Linked DNA regions of Tribolium castaneum. The protein of the gene in region 2 interacts with the protein of the main gene of each other region in a pairwise test. Links are inferred from orthologs where the notes say so. Each region holds a gene or a part of one and is shown on either strand. Other genes may lie near its edges. The genes, in order: eEF2, Uev1A and awd.

What was found.
Region 1: the proteins of Uev1A (region 2) and eEF2 interact in a two-hybrid assay, tested with the Caenorhabditis elegans proteins (2 studies listed by BioGRID). The link is inferred for Tribolium castaneum from reciprocal best matches to the Caenorhabditis elegans genes uev-1 and eef-2.
Region 3: the proteins of Uev1A (region 2) and awd interact in a two-hybrid assay, tested with the Caenorhabditis elegans proteins (2 studies listed by BioGRID). The link is inferred for Tribolium castaneum from reciprocal best matches to the Caenorhabditis elegans genes uev-1 and ndk-1.

What each region holds. Positions count from the first base shown.
Region 1 is NC_087396.1:14,895,515-14,899,710, reverse strand, and holds the start of eEF2 (translation elongation factor 2), read left to right. Parts: upstream 1-1,306; 5' UTR 1,307-1,459; coding exon 1,460-1,462; intron 1,463-1,796; coding exon 1,797-2,011; intron 2,012-2,058; coding exon 2,059-2,252; intron 2,253-2,504; coding exon 2,505-2,713; intron 2,714-2,979; coding exon 2,980-3,239; intron 3,240-3,409; coding exon 3,410-4,053; intron 4,054-4,196. Other genes in the region: lysosomal proton-coupled steroid conjugate and bile acid symporter SLC46A3, read left to right, coding at 1-263, 310-550, 604-685. UniProt on the Caenorhabditis elegans protein: Catalyzes the GTP-dependent ribosomal translocation step during translation elongation.
Region 2 is NC_087394.1:10,169,483-10,172,668, reverse strand, and holds Uev1A (ubiquitin-conjugating enzyme E2 variant 2), read right to left. Parts: upstream 1,928-3,186; 5' UTR 1,824-1,927; intron 1,818-1,823; exon of another isoform or gene 1,747-1,817; 5' UTR 1,658-1,746; coding exon 1,633-1,657; intron 1,568-1,632; coding exon 1,299-1,567; intron 1,249-1,298; coding exon 1,108-1,248; 3' UTR 592-1,107; downstream 1-591. UniProt on the Caenorhabditis elegans protein: Involved in protein ubiquitination, but has no ubiquitin ligase activity on its own. The uev-1-ubc-13 heterodimer catalyzes the synthesis of non-canonical poly-ubiquitin chains that are linked through Lys-63.
Region 3 is NC_087394.1:6,440,392-6,442,914, forward strand, and holds awd (nucleoside diphosphate kinase), read left to right. Parts: upstream 1-1,219; 5' UTR 1,220-1,345; coding exon 1,346-1,519; intron 1,520-1,561; coding exon 1,562-1,897; 3' UTR 1,898-1,941; downstream 1,942-2,523.

The DNA.
Region 1 (4,196 bases), on a different chromosome or scaffold from region 2:
GGTCATAATCGGACCCATGCATGGCGAAATGCAAGTCATGTATCTGTTTGTCCGACATAGGTTCAAATGGAACGAAATTGACTACAGCTTGTACTCAACCTTCCAATTTGTCATCCACGTCTGTGGAACTGTTTTCTCTTTAATGTTCTTCAGCAAATTCCTCAAAGTCGATGATGCCGTCCTTGGAATGATTTCAAGCACGAGTAAAATCGCCGCTTCCCTCGTATACGCTTTCGCACCCACAAGTACAATTTTTTATCTTGGTAAGTTCTCAAATGACCCTCTCCCACAACCAAACGATTATTGCAGGAGCGATAATCGAGGCTTTAAACGGTACTTCTTTCATCGCCATGAGATCAATTATATCAAAGTTAGTACCTCCGGAAGAATTGGGCAAAATTAACTCTTTGTTTGGAGTTTCTGAAGCTTTAATGCCCCTTGTTTATGGGCCCATGTATAATATAGTCTATGAAACCACAATTAAGGTCCTACCAGGCTCCTTCTTTCTACTTGGAGGGGCTTTAACTGCGCCTGCGATCGTAATATTCTAGTAAAGTTTCACGAAAATGGGGAAAGCTTAAGGTTGATACGAATTTGTTACAGTTGGTTATACCGAGAGCATCAGAAAGATCAACAAGAGGAGGCGAAGGAGAAGCCACAAAAAGCCAGTTTGTTACCTAAATGATAAGAATGTAAATAAATCTGTTTTGTTACAAAAACTGCTTTTTATATTTCACACTAATTGTTAAATAATAACATAGAGAAATTATGAAAACGCGTTGCCAAACGATTAAGGCCCGGTTTCCGGTACGATTAAACTTAAATTAGTTAATTAGTTAAATTTTATCTCTCTGTTAGTTGCTAAGGTACTGCGTATCTGATTGGCGTTGCTATGTTTTAACTGAGGTTTAAATTTAATCCCTCCGTTAAATATGTTTCCAAAAACAGGGCTTTCTGGTTTTTCAAGTTTTCAGTGCGTAAAGCAGAGAATGCTTAAAGTCTATTAAAAAATTGGAAACAATATTTCTTATGGCATATCTCCAAATGAAAGCTTTTTCTCTTCCAGCCACTGGTGATGTGGATTTCGCGGGCACCTTCCACAGGATATGGGACAACCACTTGGCTGAACTGGTCGAATGTGGAAAATGTGGCCGCAAATTTTTCCCTGATCGGATAGAAACTCACCGAAACGCCTGTGCCGGGCTCCGCATTCAAGTTAAAGGCAGAAAACGGGAAACATAACTGTATAAAGAAATAAAACCGTTTTTTTATCAACCCGCTTTTTACTTTTCACCAAGGCGACAAAAACTAGTGACTTTTTCCACGTTGGCAATACCGTGAAGATGCAGCTGCGTGGCAGTTCTTAGCCCACTTCACGTCAATCGTCCTTTCACGGGAGTGCGCCATTACTGGCGTATCGTATTTTTGTGTGTGTTAACAAAATCAAGAAACATCCAACATGGTAAGCCCTTTTTGTGGATTTTATTAACGTTAAACGATTGCCCCAGCCTCTCTCCACGCCGTGGATTATTTATTTCGGTGGCTTAGCGTTATTTTAGTGATTTTTAACGGATTTGTTCAGATTGCACAATAAGATGAAAGTACACTCTATCCGGTATTTATGTTTACTAATAAGTGTTTTTCGGCTTCGTTGCCCGCTTGTAATTAATAAAAACGAACCAAAGCTGGGATTATTTGATCATTTAACGGTGGAAATGTGGAGAAAAGGGGACGTCAAGTGTCAACACATGTTGGATCTTAACCGGACATCTGTTAATGTTATGTGGCCCCCTTAGGTGAACTTCACTGTTGACGAGATCCGTGCTGTGATGGACAAGAAGCGGAATATCCGTAACATGTCCGTCATTGCTCACGTGGACCACGGCAAATCAACTCTGACCGACTCCCTTGTGTCCAAAGCTGGTATCATTGCCGGGGCCAAGGCGGGAGAAACGAGGTTTACTGACACGAGAAAGGATGAACAAGATAGGTGCATCACCATCAAGTCTACGTAAGTGCCCCAACCCTCGTTGCCAGATGGCTGATTCCTTATTTTAGTGCCATCTCCATGTACTTCGAACTTGAAGACAGGGATCTCGTCTTTATTACCAACCCTGAACAGCGTGAGAAGGAAGAAAAAGGTTTCTTGATCAATCTGATTGACTCTCCCGGACACGTCGACTTCTCATCAGAAGTCACAGCCGCTCTTCGCGTCACTGATGGCGCCCTTGTCGTCGTTGATTGCGTTTCTGGTAAGTTTTTGTAAGAAGTGTCGCTTCCAGCACAACAAGAGCCACTTCATAGAGCATTGGCTGCTTGCAACCAACGCTCAACGACGATGTTGGCAGTGCAATGGAAGGAGATTAATTTCAACATGTGTTTAAACGCTGCCACAGGACCTCTATCTTTATGTCCGGTTGTGGCACGCTACGGCATGAGTTGTACATTTTATTTATGAGAAATTGGAAATTCTCGGTTTTTAATTGGGAAACGTGGCGTTTTAGGTGTATGTGTACAAACCGAAACCGTACTTAGGCAGGCTATTGCCGAACGTATCAAGCCTATTTTATTCATGAACAAGATGGACAGAGCTTTGTTGGAGCTGCAGTTGGACTCAGAGGAACTCTACCAAACTTTCCAGCGTATTGTTGAAAACGTGAACGTCATTATCGCCACTTACGCTGATGATAATGGCCCAATGGGTAACATTCATGTAAGTTTTTAGTAATTTAACGATTAGAAGTTAGTTGAAAAAAAAAATGAAATTATGCAATGGTTGTTTTTCTGAATTAAACGCATATCGCGAGTTAATTCGGGAGGTCTAATTAATTTTTAATTGACTAGAACCATGAAGAAACTCGCAGATAAGGTCCACTATTTGCCCTGCTTTAGATTAAAAATATTTAAAGCAGTTTCCTGATGTGGAACATTGAAATTAATTTTTTGTGTCATTTTTTTTATGAAATTTCTTTTTTATAGGTCGATCCTAGCAAAGGTTCCGTTGGTTTCGGTTCAGGTCTCCACGGATGGGCTTTTACCCTCAAACAGTTCGCTGAAATGTACTCTGAAAAATTCAAGATTGACGTTGTGAAACTAATGAACAGATTGTGGGGTGAGAACTTCTTCAACCCCAAAACCAAGAAGTGGGCCAAACAGAAGGAAGCCGACAACAAACGCTCCTTCTGTATGTACATCTTGGACCCCATCTACAAAATCTTTGACAGCATCATGAACTACAGGTGAATAATCTTATTAATTGATTTAATTTACTGGACATGAAGGATGATTGTTCTCACAGACCTGTTCTGATCTGGTTGACGACAAAAGAACGGCCAACTGACCTTAATTAATCTTTAAAAAGTTTTGTGTAATTTTGAATTGTGGCCAATGTTGTTTATTCATGTTACAGGAAAGAAGAATACGAAGCTCTGTTCCCCAAACTTGGTATCCAGTTGAAACACGAAGACAAGGACAAAGACGGCAAGCCTCTCCTCAAGGTTGTGATGCGCACCTGGTTGCCCGCTGGCGAGGCTCTCCTCCAGATGATTGCCATCCATCTCCCATCACCCGTAACTGCCCAGAAGTACAGAATGGAAATGTTGTATGAAGGTCCCCATGACGATGAAGCCGCCATCGGTATCAAGAATTGCGATCCCAATGCTCCTCTTATGATGTACGTCTCGAAAATGGTACCCACCTCTGATAAGGGACGTTTCTATGCTTTCGGTCGCGTCTTCTCCGGTAAAGTCGCCACAGGAATGAAGGCACGTATCATGGGACCCAACTACACTCCCGGCAAGAAGGAAGATTTATACGAGAAAGCCATTCAGCGTACTATTCTCATGATGGGACGTAACGTCGAGGCCATTGAAGACGTGCCATCAGGAAACATCTGCGGTTTGGTCGGTGTTGATCAATTCTTGGTCAAAACTGGCACCATCACGACCTTCAAGGATGCCCACAACTTGAGAGTTATGAAGTTCAGCGTATCGCCGGTCGTACGTGTCGCTGTCGAACCCAAAAATCCAGCTGATTTGCCCAAATTGGTCGAAGGTATGTTTTATTTTTTAATAGTTACAAATATCAAAGCAAGGTTCCTTCAATGATGATTGTTCTCACAGACCTGTTCTGATCACTTTGACGACAAAAGAACGGCCAACTGACTACTAACACACAACCAATTTGTTGGAGAGAAT
Region 2 (3,186 bases):
AGCAAAAAAATAAAGCAACTCACAAAAAAAATTATGAATAAATAAAAATCAAATATCTAAACGATAAACGTAATTTTGGGAGTGTTACAACAATTTTTTACGTTCGTTTTAGGACGACACTACAATTCATAAACTTTTATTAATATTTTTAATTAATTAATAATTTAAACAATAAATTATATTACCGTAAAAATTCCCAATCAATTTTATATCGTAAAAACGTTTCAAATGTGGTAAAATCAAGCGCTGATAACTGATTAAAATACTCCACCATAAATAGTTTTCAAGAATTAATTGAAAATTTGCACTTTAAAAGCTCTAGAGGGTTCGGTTTTATAAAAAACTATTTCAACCGGAGACTTCGCCTATTCAAATCGTTCTGACCCAATTTTCAAGTTATTTTTTTAGTGCAAAATAAAAAAATGTCTGTTACCGGAACCTCTCCGGGTTTTGATGATTAAATAAGTGCTCTGAAGCGAATTCTGATGTTTTTTTATTTTTGCAGTAAATTTTAACGAGAAAAACGCATTTAAAGTGACAAATTTTCACTTTTCATTCAGTTTTTTTTTAATTGGAATAAAAAGAAGCGTCTAAAATTAGTTTGTTTTATTATGACGTTGATGAGTTAACATGAAATGTAGACAAGTGCGCGATGTGTTGAAGTTGTTTGAGCCAGTCAAACCCACAACAATGAGTAGACATGTAAAATAAAAAATCTGAGTTACAAATTTATTTGATTATAATCACAAATTAATTACGATTAGAATAACAATTAAAACCTGCACAAATAACGGCAACACATCCTATTATAAAACTTTATTATGAACAGAGTAATTACATCAGCAGTACAGTTCTATAAATGCTGGACAGTATGAACTTATGGCGAATCTAACTTTTATGACCTAAAATTAATTTAGCGGTGTAGCCATGAAGCTGTACACATAACTTAGCCCCTCTGCATCTTGTCCCTTTCATGTCATTTGGGTAACTAACTTAATGATTGATACTTATTCACAAAAGACAACAAGACTGAGTTGTGCAGGTATCAACACTCAGAGGGCAGTTGGCTGCAGAGGGCAACGGGGACGTGTTGGGAGGGCGCAAGGGCTAGAAACAACTGCCCTCTGGAGGCTGTGTAAGTTTCATGTTTTCTTTGAGTGTCATTAACCGACGCAATTCTTGTAAAACTGTCTTAATCGTGTAGTCCCGCTGCCACCGCGCTAGGACTGGAACTTGCCTATTGTCCACCTAGGCGACAAAATTAGCCCCAACTTACGCACCCACCCGGCTCCACTTACCACCCCCGTGCTGCTATTAATACAATTCATGTTGATCCTAGAAATGAACTTTGCCGAAGGCGCATCATCGGGGTACCTCTGCCCGCACTCAATCTTCACTGAATACATCCTATTCTCATACGGGGTCCTAGGGGGGCCAATGATCATCCCCATCCAGTGAGTCAGAGTCATGTCATCGTCGTTTTCCAAGCCCCAGCTGATGGTGCCGTCCGATACGCCCTTCTGGCCCGCTTCTAGCTCCTCCAGAAGCCGGAAATTTCGGGGCACCACTGCCAAAAACACGCAAAATTTACCCAATTTGATGATAAAACACACGGATTAATTATTAACTTACCCACACCGGTTGATGGGGCCGCCATGATTTTTATGCACCGCGATGAAATATCACTGAAGGTGTAATCGCCCGATTTACGGATTTAAGCACTTGGGAAAATCCGTGTCGATGAACCTATAATGGAATATTATGTAAATTCGCGACCATCTATAAATAAAACGGATTTTTTTAGCGTTTCCCTAAAACAGCACCTTTCAATTTTTCTACACCCTGTCAATTCTGGGGAATTTCTAGTTTACAGTGCTTCCACCAGAAGCCGCAATGTTGGCTATAATGTGGCCACCACGAAATCCAAAATTTTCCGCACTGTTAAGTAAATTATTTAATTATTGAAATAAAGTAAATTCGGTTCTAAAATTTAGCTTGAATTAAATAAGAGTGGGCAAAGTTCAATTCCAAATCAGTATCATGCAATGTCGTCAACCTCTGGTGAATTTTTGGCAATTTTTTTAATTTTTGAACCCGTTTGGAATTGTTCGAAAGCCTGGTGATTGTGTAAAGAATTTTGAAAAAATATTATCGCACAAGAATTAACAAACTTTGTTTTTATGTCTTATTTTGTAGGGTTCTTAAGAGAAAATGGGCACAAAGCACTTGCATTTTTGGAGTGAAATAAAGCACAAATTAAGAGTTTCTGTATAAAAAAAACAAAAGTATGTGTTAAACTGAGTCCTAACGACAAATTTAGGGCCAAAAAACCAACAATAATGTTGAAAAATATTGTTATTAAAACTATAGTTTCAAAATTATAAAACGCCAACATTTTATCGAATTATTTTGTTAAATAAGATTGATAAAATTGTAAAATAGGTATTAATGATTAGATATTATCTCTTTCAAAACTATAAAAAATGCTAACGTTGCATTTTCTCTCAAAATTAGGTGTTAAAAATTATTCATGCACTTCTAGCTAATGTAATTTATAGTTTCTATAATTATATTTATAATTTATTTATTTATAAATATTATTTATTTATATTTATAATTTATGCAATACATAGCTAATGCAATTTATAGTTTCAATGAGAGATCATTAATAACTATTTTACATTTTTATCATTCTTATTAAAAAAAATAATTTAATAAAATACGACGTTTGAGTCTTTATAGTTTATAGGTATTGCTAAAGGTTAAAAACAAAGCATAAAATAAAAGTTTAGTGCAGAAACAATACAAAAAATATTCATGATAAAATCTTGAAAGAGAGCAGAGTAAGATCTAAAAGAAAATATGAAAAGATTAAAATAAATGTAGATGAAATGTTTTTAAAATAATTTATAAAAAAATCTGAAGATGAATTTATACCATACCTAATCTAGGAACAGTGTTAATAAAGAATTTAACAAGGATATTAAAAAAATCAACAGAAGAATTTATTTAATAAAGTTTTGGATCTACATACGATTTTAGAAAAAAAAAAGAAAAGAGTACAGAAACAAAATAATGTTAAAGAGTAATCTGTAATAATTCTAAACAAAATTGTACTCGTAGAAGAATATTTTAAAAACGCACAGTGGAATCCAAAAGAGAATTTTGCAAATATGTAGAAGTGTT
Region 3 (2,523 bases), about 3.7 Mb from region 2:
GAGAATGTACCAATCAAATTGGTTCATTTTGGTCATGTAATCAATTAATCACGCATTTAATTGCGGCTTAAATTAATGATCAAATTAAACAAATTTTATTGGACCATAAACTTTTGACAGCGCAGTTAACATTATTTGAGCTTTCTATAAATCGGTCATAAATATTAAATTAATTTAATAAACTTAGGGCCGGTTTCTACCATGAGATCGAAAATGTACTGAATTATAGCAAGCTTTGAAAAAGAAGTGTAATTTTAGTCACATTTTTTATTAAAAAATTGTGTTATAAAAGACAGTGGAGGAGACCCAAGAAATGTCCAGAAATACTGTTCCTATGTTAGCAAATAACTGTTTAAAAAATTCTTAAAGAGATTTCATCCAATTTTTTTTTCATTTGTTAAAATAGCCTTTTACATTGTAAGCTTTTAATTGGATGGTAAACCCTATGTCAGAAGCAAGGAATTAGTTTTTGAAAAATCCTGATCTGTCAGTTTTTGACATGTGGCTAAAATTCTGCACGGCCTGCTCTAATTCAGTTTATTTTCGATCTCACGTTAGAAAGCTCTGTTATAATTTAATTCGTTGTTAAAAGTTAACAACGCAAATGGACCAACCAAATTAGTTCAGTTAATTTGGTCACGTGATCATCTAATTGCGAATTAAATTAATAAATGAATTAACTATTTTTCAAGTAAAAGCTGGAACTTTGGAAACTTTAAAAATTGTTAATGTAGTTTTTTGCATTTTACTCTCATATCATAAAAATTTGGGATAACGTTAAAGCATTAAATTGAGGTGTGTTAAAAACTCGTCAAAAATATCGTTTGCGATATAATTTTTTTGGACAGGCTTTTTTTAAACTGGCATTAAAACTTGAAACATCCTGTATTGTAGCTTATTTCTGAAACATTCAAAAAACAAAAAAAAAAACTTGTCTTTGGCCAAATTGTGTCAACAAGTTTAATTTACAATTTAAATAATTCCCAGTAAATCACTCAAATTTGGGAAAGTTGTGACTCAATCCCTATAATTTACTCAAATGCTGAAAATAAACACCAGCCTTGTCCTTGAATCTAAATTTATCGCATAATTAAGCTTAATTAAGAGGTCAAGTACAAAGATCGATAACACACTCAATCGTATTATTTTGAATTAGGCGCTGACTTCTAGGGACATGTGGCTCTTCGCAGGAAATGCCCGTCTTCTAACTTTGTCTCTTCCTCTTCCCTCCTCCTTGCTCTCATTTGGTTACAGTCGAACCGGTGTCTCAATCGTTCAATCCTCCGAAAATAGCCCCCGAATTAAATTCTCGCGCGTGGTTTTCGACGAATCGCCTTCCAGTTGTATGATCTGTACGATCTTGTCAATCTTTTCGTTATTTTCAAGAGCCATGGCGGAAGCACGTGAAAGAACCTTCATTATGGTCAAGCCTGACGGCGTCCAAAGAGGCCTTGTAGGGAAGATAATCAAGCGGTTTGAGTCGAAGGGCTTCAAGCTAGTGGCCCTCAAGTTCACCTGGGTGAGTATTTTTGCACACGTGTCAAGTCAATAACCCTCACAGCCTTCGGAGGAGCTCCTCAAGAAACACTACGCCGATTTGGCCACGAAGCCCTTCTTCCCCGGCCTGGTCAAGTACATGAGCAGCGGGCCGGTGGTGCCCATGGTGTGGGAGGGCCTGAACGTGGTGAAGACCGGGCGTGTGATGCTTGGTGCTACAAACCCTGCCGACAGTGCCCCAGGTACCATCAGAGGTGACCTTTGTATCCAGGTTGGGCGGAATATTATCCACGGGTCGGATTCGGTGGAATCGGCGAAGAAGGAGATCGGGTTGTGGTTCACGGAGAAGGAGGTGATCAATTGGAAGCCGGCGAATGAGGGGTGGGTGTATGAGGATTGAACTTGTTACACTTTATTTAAATGAATAAAAAATTTGGAAAATTATGGTTTGTTTTTTTTGGTTGTCTTGTGGTGACATTAGGCTACTTGATTCCGGTTCAAACTTGTTTTCTAGGAAAATTTTACGACAGATGGGTTAACAAAAATTATTGCAGTTGCACTGTAATTTTTTGAGTCAATTAAGCTGTTGTTCATTTATGTAAATCAATAATTTCATTATTAATCGATAAAAATTCAATAAAAGTAAAGTAGTCCATTGAACAAGTAGCATGTTAGTTTGGCACTCGCGCAGAGTCAAATTGCTGGTTGCCTACACTATTACATAAAAAATTCTTTTTTATGTTTAATACTTTTATTATTAACGAAAAACTAAGTGAAATAATAAGAATTAAAGAATAATTTTGTTTCCAAAAAATACGCTTTTTTCATAGTTTCAGGGCGCTTATGCAAAAATTAAAATCGACAGTATTTCGTCTAATAGTACCAAAAACTACAAGTGTAGGACAAAAATTAAGACAGATTTAGAATTTTTGGACAATTTTGCGTCACATGAACAAATTTGAAACCTAAATTTTTGGTTATTGTAACTTTGATGATTTATTTATTTACACATAAGATAATCTAAAT